3 linked regions of the Oryzias latipes genome follow. The main gene of each other region encodes a partner of the protein of the gene in region 3 in a complex. Links are inferred from orthologs where the notes say so. Each region holds a gene or a part of one and is shown on either strand. Other genes may lie near its edges. The genes, in order: vti1b, bet1l and syntaxin-4.

Evidence for each region.
Region 1: syntaxin-4 (region 3) and vti1b share a complex: the UniProt entries of both Homo sapiens proteins name them as parts of the SNARE complex. The link is inferred for Oryzias latipes from reciprocal best matches to the Homo sapiens genes STX4 and VTI1B.
Region 2: syntaxin-4 (region 3) and bet1l share a complex: the UniProt entries of both Homo sapiens proteins name them as parts of the SNARE complex. The link is inferred for Oryzias latipes from reciprocal best matches to the Homo sapiens genes STX4 and BET1L.

The regions. Positions count from the first base shown.
Region 1 is NC_019880.2:1,875,830-1,880,119, reverse strand, and holds the start of vti1b (vesicle transport through interaction with t-SNAREs homolog 1B), read right to left. Parts: upstream 2,934-4,290; 5' UTR 2,726-2,933; coding exon 2,629-2,725; intron 1,704-2,628; exon of another isoform or gene 1,681-1,703; coding exon of another isoform or gene 1,641-1,680; coding exon 1,582-1,640; intron 824-1,581; coding exon 626-823; intron 552-625; coding exon 378-551; intron 1-377. Other genes in the region: retinol dehydrogenase 12, read left to right, coding at 3,973-4,187. UniProt on the Homo sapiens protein: V-SNARE that mediates vesicle transport pathways through interactions with t-SNAREs on the target membrane. These interactions are proposed to mediate aspects of the specificity of vesicle trafficking and to promote fusion of the lipid bilayers.
Region 2 is NC_019864.2:3,554,404-3,557,273, reverse strand, and holds the end of bet1l (BET1-like protein), read right to left. Parts: intron 1,111-2,870; coding exon 943-1,110; 3' UTR 570-942; downstream 1-569. UniProt on the Homo sapiens protein: Vesicle SNARE required for targeting and fusion of retrograde transport vesicles with the Golgi complex. Required for the integrity of the Golgi complex.
Region 3 is NC_019877.2:19,255,763-19,259,855, reverse strand, and holds the start of syntaxin-4, read left to right. Parts: upstream 1-1,177; 5' UTR 1,178-1,339; coding exon 1,340-1,369; intron 1,370-1,705; coding exon 1,706-1,813; intron 1,814-3,179; coding exon 3,180-3,279; intron 3,280-4,093. UniProt on the Homo sapiens protein: Plasma membrane t-SNARE that mediates docking of transport vesicles. Necessary for the translocation of SLC2A4 from intracellular vesicles to the plasma membrane.

The sequences.
Region 1 (4,290 bases), on a different chromosome or scaffold from region 3:
AGGAGGAGGAAAGGAGGAGGAGGAGGAAAGGAGGAGGAGGAACACGAGGAGGAGGAGGACAAAGAGGAGGAGGAGAAGGAAAGGAGGAGAAGGAAAGGAGGAGGAGGAAAGGAGGAGGAGGAGGAGGAGGAGGAGGAGGAAGAGGAAGAGGAGGAGGAAGAGGAAGAGAAGGAGAAGGAGGAAAGGAGGAGGAGGAGGAAAGGAGGAGGAGGAACACGAGGAGGAGGAAGAAGAGGAGGACAAAGAGGAGGAGGAGAAGGAAAGGAGGAGGAGGAAAGGAGCAGGAGGACAAAGAGGAGGAGGAGAAGGAAAGGAGGAGAAGGAAAGGAGGAGGAGGAAAGGAGGAGGAGGAAAGGAGGAGGAGGCGGCGGCCTCACTCTGTCTCTGGTTCGGTCCAGCTGCTCCCTCTGCCCCCCCAGCTCTTCGATGATGTCTGTACCGATCTGCTCCGTCTCCACGGCGATGCGCTGGCTGCGCTCGATGCTCTGCGTGGCGTTGTTCAGGTAGTCCGTCCCCTGAAGCAGCAGCGACCTCTGCGACTGCAGGTGTGTCTGCACCCCCCAGGGACAAACAGGAAGTCAGGAGGTTTCCAGAACACCTGTGAGGCGTGAAGGTCCACACTCACACTCTGCTGGTTCTCGGGTGAATAGAGGCCCTGGCGGTCGCCGTGAGACGTCAGGGGGGCGGGGCCGAAGCCGGGAGCAAAGGTTTTCATGTCCCTCTGCAGTTTGCCGATGTCTCTGCGGTACAGACGCAGCTTGGTGCTCATGGCGTTTCTGTAGGACGCCGGCGCCGCACGGAGCTCGTCCTCCATGCCCTGCAACTGTGAGAGAAAATCCAAGTCCATTTGATCAAAAAGATGGATTTTAGCGTCTGAAACGACTATAGAAACGCCGACAAGGTTCAAGAAAAATGGAATTATTAACTCTTCAGTTAAAAAAGAAATTACACCTGAGACATGGCAACCATTAATGGATTATTTCTATAGACAAGTCAACCTCTACTTGAACATTTAATTGTAAAATCTGCAGGGTATTTGTTTGTTTTGTTGTTCTTTGCTTTTCTTTTTTTTGGTATTGTTTGCTGTAAAAAATAAAAATAAAAAAGAGGGGAAAAAACAATAAAACATTTTTTTCTTTTATTTCAAATGAATGAAAAGAACAAAAAGAAATTTAAAATAGAAAACTAAACTTAAAGCTGCATGCAAACCATGTAACCATAATCACACTGTTCATTTCAAATAAATGTAAAAACAGTATGAAAAAAAGAAATTAAAGGTTAATCAGCTGATAAACGCACAATGACTTCATGTGAAACTAGAAGCTCGTTTTCCCTCCAACAGGAAGAGATGAACAAAATTTGATCAAATATTCTTATTTTTGTGTGTGAAACGCAACCAAATATTTGAACTTTGACTTCAAGTCTTCGCTGGTTCTTGACTGTAGCACCAAAAACCCCAGTTTGATTTTTTCAAAGCCTTTTTTAAAAATTAATATTTAATAATGAATGTGCCATCTGTTGTGTTTAACCGCAAAATGACTCCATGAATGTGAGCCGTCAGGAAGGAGGACATCTGCTTACCACCTCCTCAGCCTCTCCCTGCCGCTCATCGAAGCTCCTCACCAGCCTCTTCCTCTCCTCTGCAGACCAGAGCACACAGGTTACAGAGGCTCCTTCCATCCATCCATCCTTTCAAACACCCACTGCCATGAAAACGATGGGGGACATGTATAACATGTAGCTTATAACTGCCTTTCTGAGTAATTCTTTATTCAAATCGTTGTGAATCGGGAGCGGACGGAAAAAAAAGCAGTTTGAAAAACGTATATTTGCGATGTGTTGCACCTGTAACGTCAGGTTGAGGGTGTGAGAGGCTGTAAGCAGGAGAGCGTGTAAACAGACGGGTGACGGGAAGTGGGGGTGGGCTTACTCCTGCCGACAGTCCCGCCCACAACTCTGACGCAAATTTCTAACAAACTGCTGTCCTAGAAAACGACACAGCTTCTTGGCTAAATAAAAAAAAACATGATCATAATTTAAGACGACTTTGGAAATAGATCAAAAGATGATCAGAGTGAGATTTTGTTAGTTTTATTCATTCATAACCCAGGAGACGTACAGTAAATAATAAAGACCATTACCTTGTACATCAATTATAAACACCAGAGGGATAAATATACAAAAATAAAGTTATATGAAATGACAAACCTGAGCAAAATGACAAGTATGAATTGCTTCTTTGTTTGTATTGGGGGAAATGGATTGTTAGTAAAATCTAATTTAAGTCGATCAATCAAAACAATTGGGAGCTTTATTGCTAAATTTAGTTTTGTGAATAAAATACTTAGTAAAATCAGGAGATTCGTTAAATCAAATTAAGACGAATGTTTATTATCATAATTAATGAAACCAAATAAGATGTTTTTTCCATGCAAGTCCCAAAAAATATGCATCAACAACGTTTCCTCAAATGAAAACAGAAAGAACAGTTTTTCTGTTTTTAGCCTTTGCATAAACTGATTTGTTGGATGAAACCTATGAATGATCTTGAATGAAACCTCTTTCACTTTGTTTTTTAGTGAGATTTTAAGAACACAATGAGCAACAAAGAACATGATCCTCGTTTACCTCCGTGACATTTCGCGGCTCTGTCAGGAATTAACTTCAGCTCCTCGTACAAAGATCTGTAGATTTCCTGCAACTTCTCGAATTCCTCCGACGACATTTCTCAGGGATCAACCCGGATAGTTCCTCCTGAATACAGTTATTATTGCTCCTCCTGAATATAGATATATTCAAGAGTCTTAAAAGGTTTTTTTGTAGGTGGAAAGGTTAAGATAATCTGTTTGTTTTGCTTCCTTCATCATCAGAACCCGGGATTCTTCCGCATGATGGTCCTCGTGACCAAAAGGACTAAAATTCCGTAAAAGAATGAAATAATCGGTTGTGTTTTACACATTTAAAAATTAAAATAGTGTTAAAGATACCATTTTAAATTTATTTTTTATGAACTGTATCACACAATATTGCTTATCGGAATTTTAAAAGGGAAAAGAGTAAAGATTTCTAGTCAGGCAGTTAAATAGACACCTAACATTGGCTCCAGGGGAAATTGGGAAGTGTAGTTTATTGATTTCGTTAAACAGAAGAGTTCTAAATTGAATCTTTAGTTACAAGAAAGAAAATGTTTTGATTTAAATTTATGTGTACAATTAAAATTAAATTAGATGCGATTTCTATAATTCAATTTTTGCAACTGATTCAAATAGGCCTACTGGTATATGTGTTACTCAACTTACTATTATTTTAATAAATAAAAGGATATTTGTAAAAATAAAATAAAACCTTCACTACAAATTGAGTTTTTGTGCTGAAAATGCATTTTTAGTTTTTAAAAAGTTAATATTATTTGAATGTTTTATCTTATTTTGTTCGAGGACAACGTATAATAATGCAATAGATATTCTAAATAAATGTTATACAGAAATAACCAGAGGCAGCTTTCAGTTTTATGAAGTGATAACGGCAACTTAAATGGTAATTGATTCTAGTGATAATAATAATAATTGTTCAAATGATAATAAATCATATAAATGTATATACATTTATTTAAATTTTTTTTGCAAAATATAAGGCTGTGGGAGGATTTAGATTTAGCTGTTGTGTTTATATGTTTTTGTCTTTTTTTCCAATTTCTTTTACAAAATTCAATCTACAATAATTGACATTTTTCCATGTTTTACTTCGAATTCTGGCATTACATTTCTTAAATTAAACTATAGTTTTGTATTCCTTTATAATGAACCGTTTCTCACTCATCCTTTACGATTTTTCTTACTGTTTTTTAAACACATTTAGTTTGTATATATATCTTTTGGCATTCATTCTAATCTTTCCTGCTGCTACGTGAAATTAAAAAACAACATTTTTTTTGTATTTGACCTCCAATGTAAAGGACTACAAAACACAACAATGACTACAATCCCACAATCCTTTGCACGTGCGCTCTCGGTGCCGCTGCGCCCCTCCAGCCCTGACATCAGCTGCTCAGCCCCGCTCTGCCCACACATCCCTGACGTCCGGCCGGAGGCAGAGGCCCGTGGAAGCGCTCAGATGTGGGTCTTGGTGATCATCGCGGGGATCGGGGTGGTGACGCTGCTGCTGCTGCTGTTCGCTCCGCACATACGGTGAGCTGCAGCGGGGACCCGCTGTCCCCCCATCGCGGTACCTGCACTGCTGTGACGTCATCAGCACGGAGGCTGGCTTTGCTTTTTAACCCCAGAGGTGTTT
Region 2 (2,870 bases), on a different chromosome or scaffold from region 3:
CATTGGGAATCAGATCAAAACAATCAGCTGGAAAAGATTGTATTTAATATGTAAAAAATCCACTGAGCAGCTCTCCATTCAGATTCATCCACTGTCAGACAAATACATCCATGAACTTTTGTTTTCTGGATGCAAACTGTACAGCTGGATAGCTGCAATATTGCTCGCCATTTTTTGTTGCACCAGTAATGTTAGAACGGGAGTGTGTGCGCCAACAGCCCCGCCCACGACTCAGAGGTTGATTTCTGATGAACTCCTGGCGCTCTGCAGAAACTATGTCCTTGAAAATGACACAGGCTTTTTGATTTTGGCTGAAAACCGCATCATCATAAAAGACCACGGGTAACACCTTTACAATAGACCAAAAGGTGATCGGAGTGGGACTTCAACTCGTTTGACAAAAACTGATAAAAATAAATGTGTGCAAGAAGAACAGAGAGAGAGAAAAACAAATATTTCCAAAGGAATTTAGGACAATAAAAAAACAGCTGATACCTTTTTCACTATTCTGGACTTTCCTTCTCTGCAGTGATATCATGCGTAATCTTTAACTAATAATAATAAAGTGCTTCAGTTGTTGTAGATTTTTAATGGAGACATAGTCTGGGGTCACTTGTATGTAACTGTCAGCATCATTGACATGTGATGCCAATTTATAATTTTTTGTTTGGCTCAGAAACTTTGACTTCCCCTGTGCTGCAGAGCTGATCTTTTCTTGTGAGGTGTCCCCAAGTTGGAACAAGAAGGGTTTTAGTGAAGGTAAGGTTTTTGTTTCCACAACATCAGTGGAGTTCTCTACACCTCTCTGATTATCAGTCTGGCGTTCCTTCCATTGGGGATTCGAAGAAAACTCCTCTTCCTTGCATGTAAACTTGGATCTATACTCTATAGATTCAGCTTCACATCATCCGTAGGTCTCTGGCTGAGAAGGTTTTTCTGAAATCACCGCTGGATCCTGGAAACCAGGTAGTAGAGCATGAAGAAGATGAGAACCAGCCCCAAGGAAACGTAGCAGAGGAGGCGGCGGTTGTCTCTGCCGGATCGAACCATTGTGGAGAAACGCTTCACGCTTCCGGTCAGCAGCCCTGTTGCACTCATCATATTTGAGTCCTGAAAGAGGGAGAAGAAGTTAGTTGTTGTTGCTGGAAGTCTTTGAATCTTAATTATTTGGTGACCAGCTAAACCATTTCAGAAGTAGGGTTAGGAAATATGACCAAAATGTCTCGTTTTATATCCCAGTATCAATATTCTGCAAAATCCGATTTTGTCTGTAAATTCAATAAACAAATAGTTTAAATAAAGTTGTGCAGTAAAGTGCAGTTTGACAGTTATGCAGTATTAAACAAAGTTAGTTGGAACTTAATCTTTATTTTATTTAGAACCTGTTTTCAATCAAGATCTTTAACTTATGCTATTAGAATATTTAACGTGTACGAGTGCACACTGTAACGGTGTCTGAACCTTTTTGAGTGCTTATGTCATCACTCTATGCTGCGGCTCTAGCTCATACACTGTGTTTTTTGTCGTAGTTCTATCGTTGCTGATTAAATAGGTTTGTTGTGTTGGAAGGGAGTCACAATATTTACAAAACCCCGTCGTCTGGTCCCAGTCAGTCTTATATCCAAACCACATCCCTGGGACAGAAGTCGTTTCAGTCTTAAGGGCCGTACACACCGGGACGAATATTCGCCAGGCGTTATTCGCCAGCGTCTTTCGCCACGTCTTTTGTGTTCACACCCAGGCGATTTTCGCTGACGATGAGCCGAGCGAACATGCAATTTCATTCCCTGACATTAAATGGCGCTTAATGTAAACAGAAATACTCCTGTACACAAGGTGGCGCTGCGCAACTTTACGCTTCTTAAAGTCGCTTTTCACTCAGAAGAAGAGAGCAAGTATTTACGCGTTTTTCAGAATCATACAAAGAAAACATGAATATTTCAAGCACCAGTTGCTCCAACTGGTGCTTGGTTCGGGGATATTTTAGAATGTCCGTCATTATTTCTTCGCGGCAGTGTAGACGCTACTTGGCGTCTATCTTCTTCGCTGGTATGTGTGCTCAGCAAGGCAGTTTTGTGTTTGAGCGCCCCCAAGTTGTGTTTTACTGTAATTTCAGAAGCTCCAGACACGTGTGCAAAAGCGCCATTCTCATTGGTCGAATAGTTTGACGCGCGGCGAGGCCCGTACAAAAAAAAGAACCCGAGGCGTTTTTTTAAAACATGACGCTTTGACGCGTGGCGTTTTTTCGCGTCGGTGTGCACACTCACATTGGTGCCCTTTGTTTAATCACGAGGCGTTAAACGTCGGCGAATATCGCGGGCGAAATTCGTCCCGGTGTGTACGGGCCTTTAGATTTGGGTTGGGTAGTCGTTTGGTTTAGAGTAACTCCGGCTGAAACGCATCTGCTACCATCTTCCGCCAGTTTTGTTTGTATGGTAGAATAAGGTGGATTTGGATGTTAAATGGAACCAGAAAGAGCTTTTCCATGCCGTAAAGGATGTAGACATTTTCTATACGAGGCTAAACCTAACTTTCTTTAGGGTGTATTCAGACTTAAAAAATTCTTTGTTCCGGATCGAGTCCCAAACCTTGTGTTTGGTCTGTATTCAAACTTTCATCAAGCAGACCATTCTGTTCCAGACCAAAGCTTGTAAACAAAACCATGTGACTAAAGATCTCTTCAGTCATTGGCCAGGAACTACGAGGACGGGTCAAAGCAACAAGAGAAAGACGGACGTGCTGCACTTTACAATCCGTATTGAGACTGTTAACGTAACCCTTGTGCTATCCTAGGCACTTTACCATTGGGAGTTGGGTCATCTAGACCCACTAGACAGTGCTCTGAACCTTTTTTCTTCAATGATTTGTGA
Region 3 (4,093 bases):
TTTCACAGGAAGGTGAAGGTGAAACTCTTGGGAGGAAACCGACTATCTTAGCGTCTTCCCAAGATCAGCATGAGAACTATGTGGTATCTGTGTCAAGACCGGAATCAAAGGACGCTCTGTGTCAGTTATCCGTGAGAAAAGGCTTTGCAGGTCCAAAGATGATGTGGGGAGACTGTGATAAGATGGACATGTTGCAATTAATATTTTCTGATGGCGCTGCAGTTGTGTTCAATCTGTCTTCCACTCCTTAGAGCTCAGCGCATGTGTAATTTAGGGAATTCCCAAAAAACTTAATAAAAGAGGAGGCGACAGAATATGTGAAAGAGTGGAGAGAGATTGTTGCTGGGTATTATCTCTGTTCACTCTTATTTTAACTCTTGTTTTAATTTTTAATTTGACAAAATGTTTGATTCATATTATTTTGTTCATATGTCAAATGAACAACAAAGTATTATGGCCACTATAAAAGCAGAAAAATTAACATTTATATATGAAAAAAGGTGTAAAATACAAAAAGTTTACATTTTAGAAGAACTAAGAAAACAATTACTACAAAAACGTCATGCAATTATCAAAAAGAAATTTTACAATTTTCAAGAATAAAGTCATATGTTTAAACTGTAAAAACTTGCAATTTTCAAAGAGATGTCATGCTTTTTTTCTTAAGTAAAGTGTTAAATTTAGTTTTTAAAAATTTTCAACTATGACAATTAAATGGTTCCTGTTTAAATGATGTTGCAGAGAAATTTGATGAATATCTATCACTTTGATTATGATTTTTTCTTTTTTGTTTTCTTTTTTGTAATTGCACAACTTTAGTTTCATGAAGTTATAACCTTAATTTAAAAAAACATGACTTTTTCCTTTTTAAATAATACATTTTCAACTTTATTTTTGGTAAATGTTGACTTTTTCCCCACAATTTTACGACTTCGTTCTCATATTTATATTATAATTTCATAATCATATTTGCTATTTATTCTTATTGTCAATAGTAATATAAAATAATAGTATATAATCATAAGTAATATAGTAATACTCTGTCAATTCTAATACTCCGTCGTACAAATATAGTATGGTTCTGGCTATTCCAATTGAATTAAACCAAAGCAGGTTTTGTTGCCTGTAGTAAAGGTGTCTGTCACAAGGGGGCGCCATCGATTAAATTCTGTTTGTTTGAACCGCAGAGGAAGAACTGTGAGAACTGTTGCTCTGGAGTTAAACTTGCTGAATGACAGCAGTGGAAAGTCCGCAGCTTTTGTTGCTTGGGAACCGTTGTCCTTCCTCGGCCGCGTGCTCGCAGCGTTTCCGACACCAACTCTGAACATCGACATCAAAAATGCGGGATCGAACAAAAGAGTTAGATAATGTAAGTTTTAAAGTTGGTGTGTTAGCAATAGCGTTAGCTTGCTAACCTAGCTGTATTGATTGTTTAAGTGAACTTTGAAATGCTTCGGTCTCTGATTATTTATTAACTGTAAGCCCGCATATGAGAGCAAAACAATATACCCCCCCCCCCCCCTTATTTTCTACGCTTGGAAGCACTTGTGGCGATATTGCTTTGCTAACGTCCGCTTGAGTTCTTCCTCCAAGGAAGCTGTCAGGCCGGGATAAGGGCAGGGCTCCCGGCTGCAGATCTGAACCGGCACCTTCACACAGCTCTGTTTCATCCTCCTCTTGTGTGTTTCTGTCCACCTCACCGCAGAAAGCCGAGGCCTCAGATGAGGAGAACGAGGAGAAAACGGCTTTGATGAGCAAACCTGGCAGCTCTTCAACAAAGGAAGATAAGGAGAATGAGGCTTTTTTCAAAAAGGTGATCATCCAAGTTTTCGATCTGGGCTCCTCCAAATGATTTGTAGTATTATCAGATACCGGATGTCCTGGGAAATGCTCCTCCAATGGGCCTCTGCTTCATGTTTATGAGACAGAGGACAGAGCTGAAGGTTTAGCTGTAACACACACAATTGTTTTGCCGACATTAAATTCTCCTCTAATCCCAGAACAAAAGGAAAGTAAATAAATATAAAAGGTCAACTATGAAGCTTTAAATATGAGTGAAACATTAACGGACAACAAACACTGGCCTGTATGTAGGGCTGCACTTAACAATATAAATAAAAGACTTTTAGTGGAAAAATGCAGATGTCCATAAAGTTTTGACATTTTAGTTGATTGTAGCCATCTTTAGTGTGTAAGACCTCCACTTATTATTTGATGCTACAGTTTACCAACTGTCCACGAAAGCAGCATTACTTTTACAGTGAGGGGAAAGAAATGCCATGTTTTATTTTGAAAATCTCTGAAAAGAAAGTTTAAATAAAGTGTCATAGAAGCTGCTATAAATTATGATCATGATGTTCAACTTGTTGCAAACTGTAGTTATAATGATCTAGAAGAGAAACATTAAAACAGAAAGAAGTAAAGAGAAGCATTTCCATATATTATCACGGTTTAACTTTTTAGGTTTTTTAAGTTTTGATTGAACTTTAATTGTTTGGAAAAAATAATTTCTATGCTAAGCATTTCCCCCCCCCCAAACAATAAAAGGGCTTTAGCAACAGAAATCCTCTTTTCAGGTTTTTATTTTAGTTTGGCTGAGTGAAAGAGTCAGACGGACACCAACAATAACACACAGTTGTTTATCCAACTGACTTTTTTCTCACATTAGAAAATCTTAGGATACTTTTTGTATCAGTTAAATGAAACATGTTCAAAGGTGTTGGTTTGTAATAATGGTGTTTCTATTTTCTCCAAATTTCTTTATATTTTTAAAATTCAGATGTTTTTCTTTGAGGGAGGCTGGAGTCAGATACCATCAAGATGGCAAAAGTTTCTGAGCATGTCTTTCAATCCAAACCATTTGTGAGGAAATCAAAATAAACTAAGTAAAGAGAGATGAAATCATAAAGTCAAGGCAGTTATGGATTTTATTTAAAGTCAAGGATCCATTATGATCTATAAACCTTGAGAAGATTCTAAAATAAGAGTCAGCAGAGGGATCTTTGTTCTAATATTTCCTTGGATTTCTTTTTTTTTTATACAAACACTGCATTTCCCAACCCATTAATTGAAGTTTTCTGATCAAAAAAGGTCAGGATGTTACAGTTGCAGTTAAAGCTGTTTGTCTGGGAAGATGATTTTGCCTGTTAATCCTAAAACTTTACAAACTTCTTTCTAAGGTGCAAGAAATCCACGAGGGGTTGCAGAACTTAAAGAGGATGGTGTCAGAGCTGGAGAACAAACAGAAGACGGTGCTGGGCGTGGCGCTGCCAGAGGAGAGTACGTCAACTTTATGAATTTGATAAATTCGTGTTGCATTTTGTAACAGAGGATCAGTGTAGTTGCACTTTAGGATTAGAACGACGTTTCTCCAGATTTTTCACAGGGATCCCACCAGAGTAAGGCGGGGCTAGTTGGGGGCGCCTTTCCAATCAGATTTTTAGGCTCAATGAGGGCACCAAATATGTTACAGATTAGTTTTCTCTATTGGATCGCAGTGAACATGTTTTTCTTTGTCGTCTTCTTCCAAAATGCAATTAAGGGAGCTCCTTTCATGAGGGTGTCTGATGCTTCTCTGCTGATCAATCAACTCCTGATTTAGTGATTTTTCTCAGTGGCAGATACTTTAGCACACAAAGGTGGTCAAAAATGAAAGGAATATAATAATAAAAAACAATTTTTTAAAAACATTTTTATGAATATCTCCTTGTACTTTGGTTTGTTTTGGGCCAAACACATGGCAGGAGCCCACAACTTGTTTGTACCGTCCAAAATGTCTCTGCTGGAGCTGTGAAAGAAATAAGAAATACAAACATAAATTCCTCCCTTCTCTCTGTCTTTAAATCCTAACGTTTACTCACAGTATCAAGACAAAAATAAATCATAAAAAAGAGGACAATTATTTTGACATTTTCAACACACCCTTCTTCTTTCTCTTCTCCTTTTTTGTTGTTTCTTTTTTTTTTGTGGTAAATGTGTTGAACTGATGCAGCTAACTTTAGTGGTATTTCGTAGATTTCCACACATCTTACAAAAAAAATGTCATCCTGAGACTCCAGTTGCATTCAATTTCTGACGTTGTGTGTTTTATTTC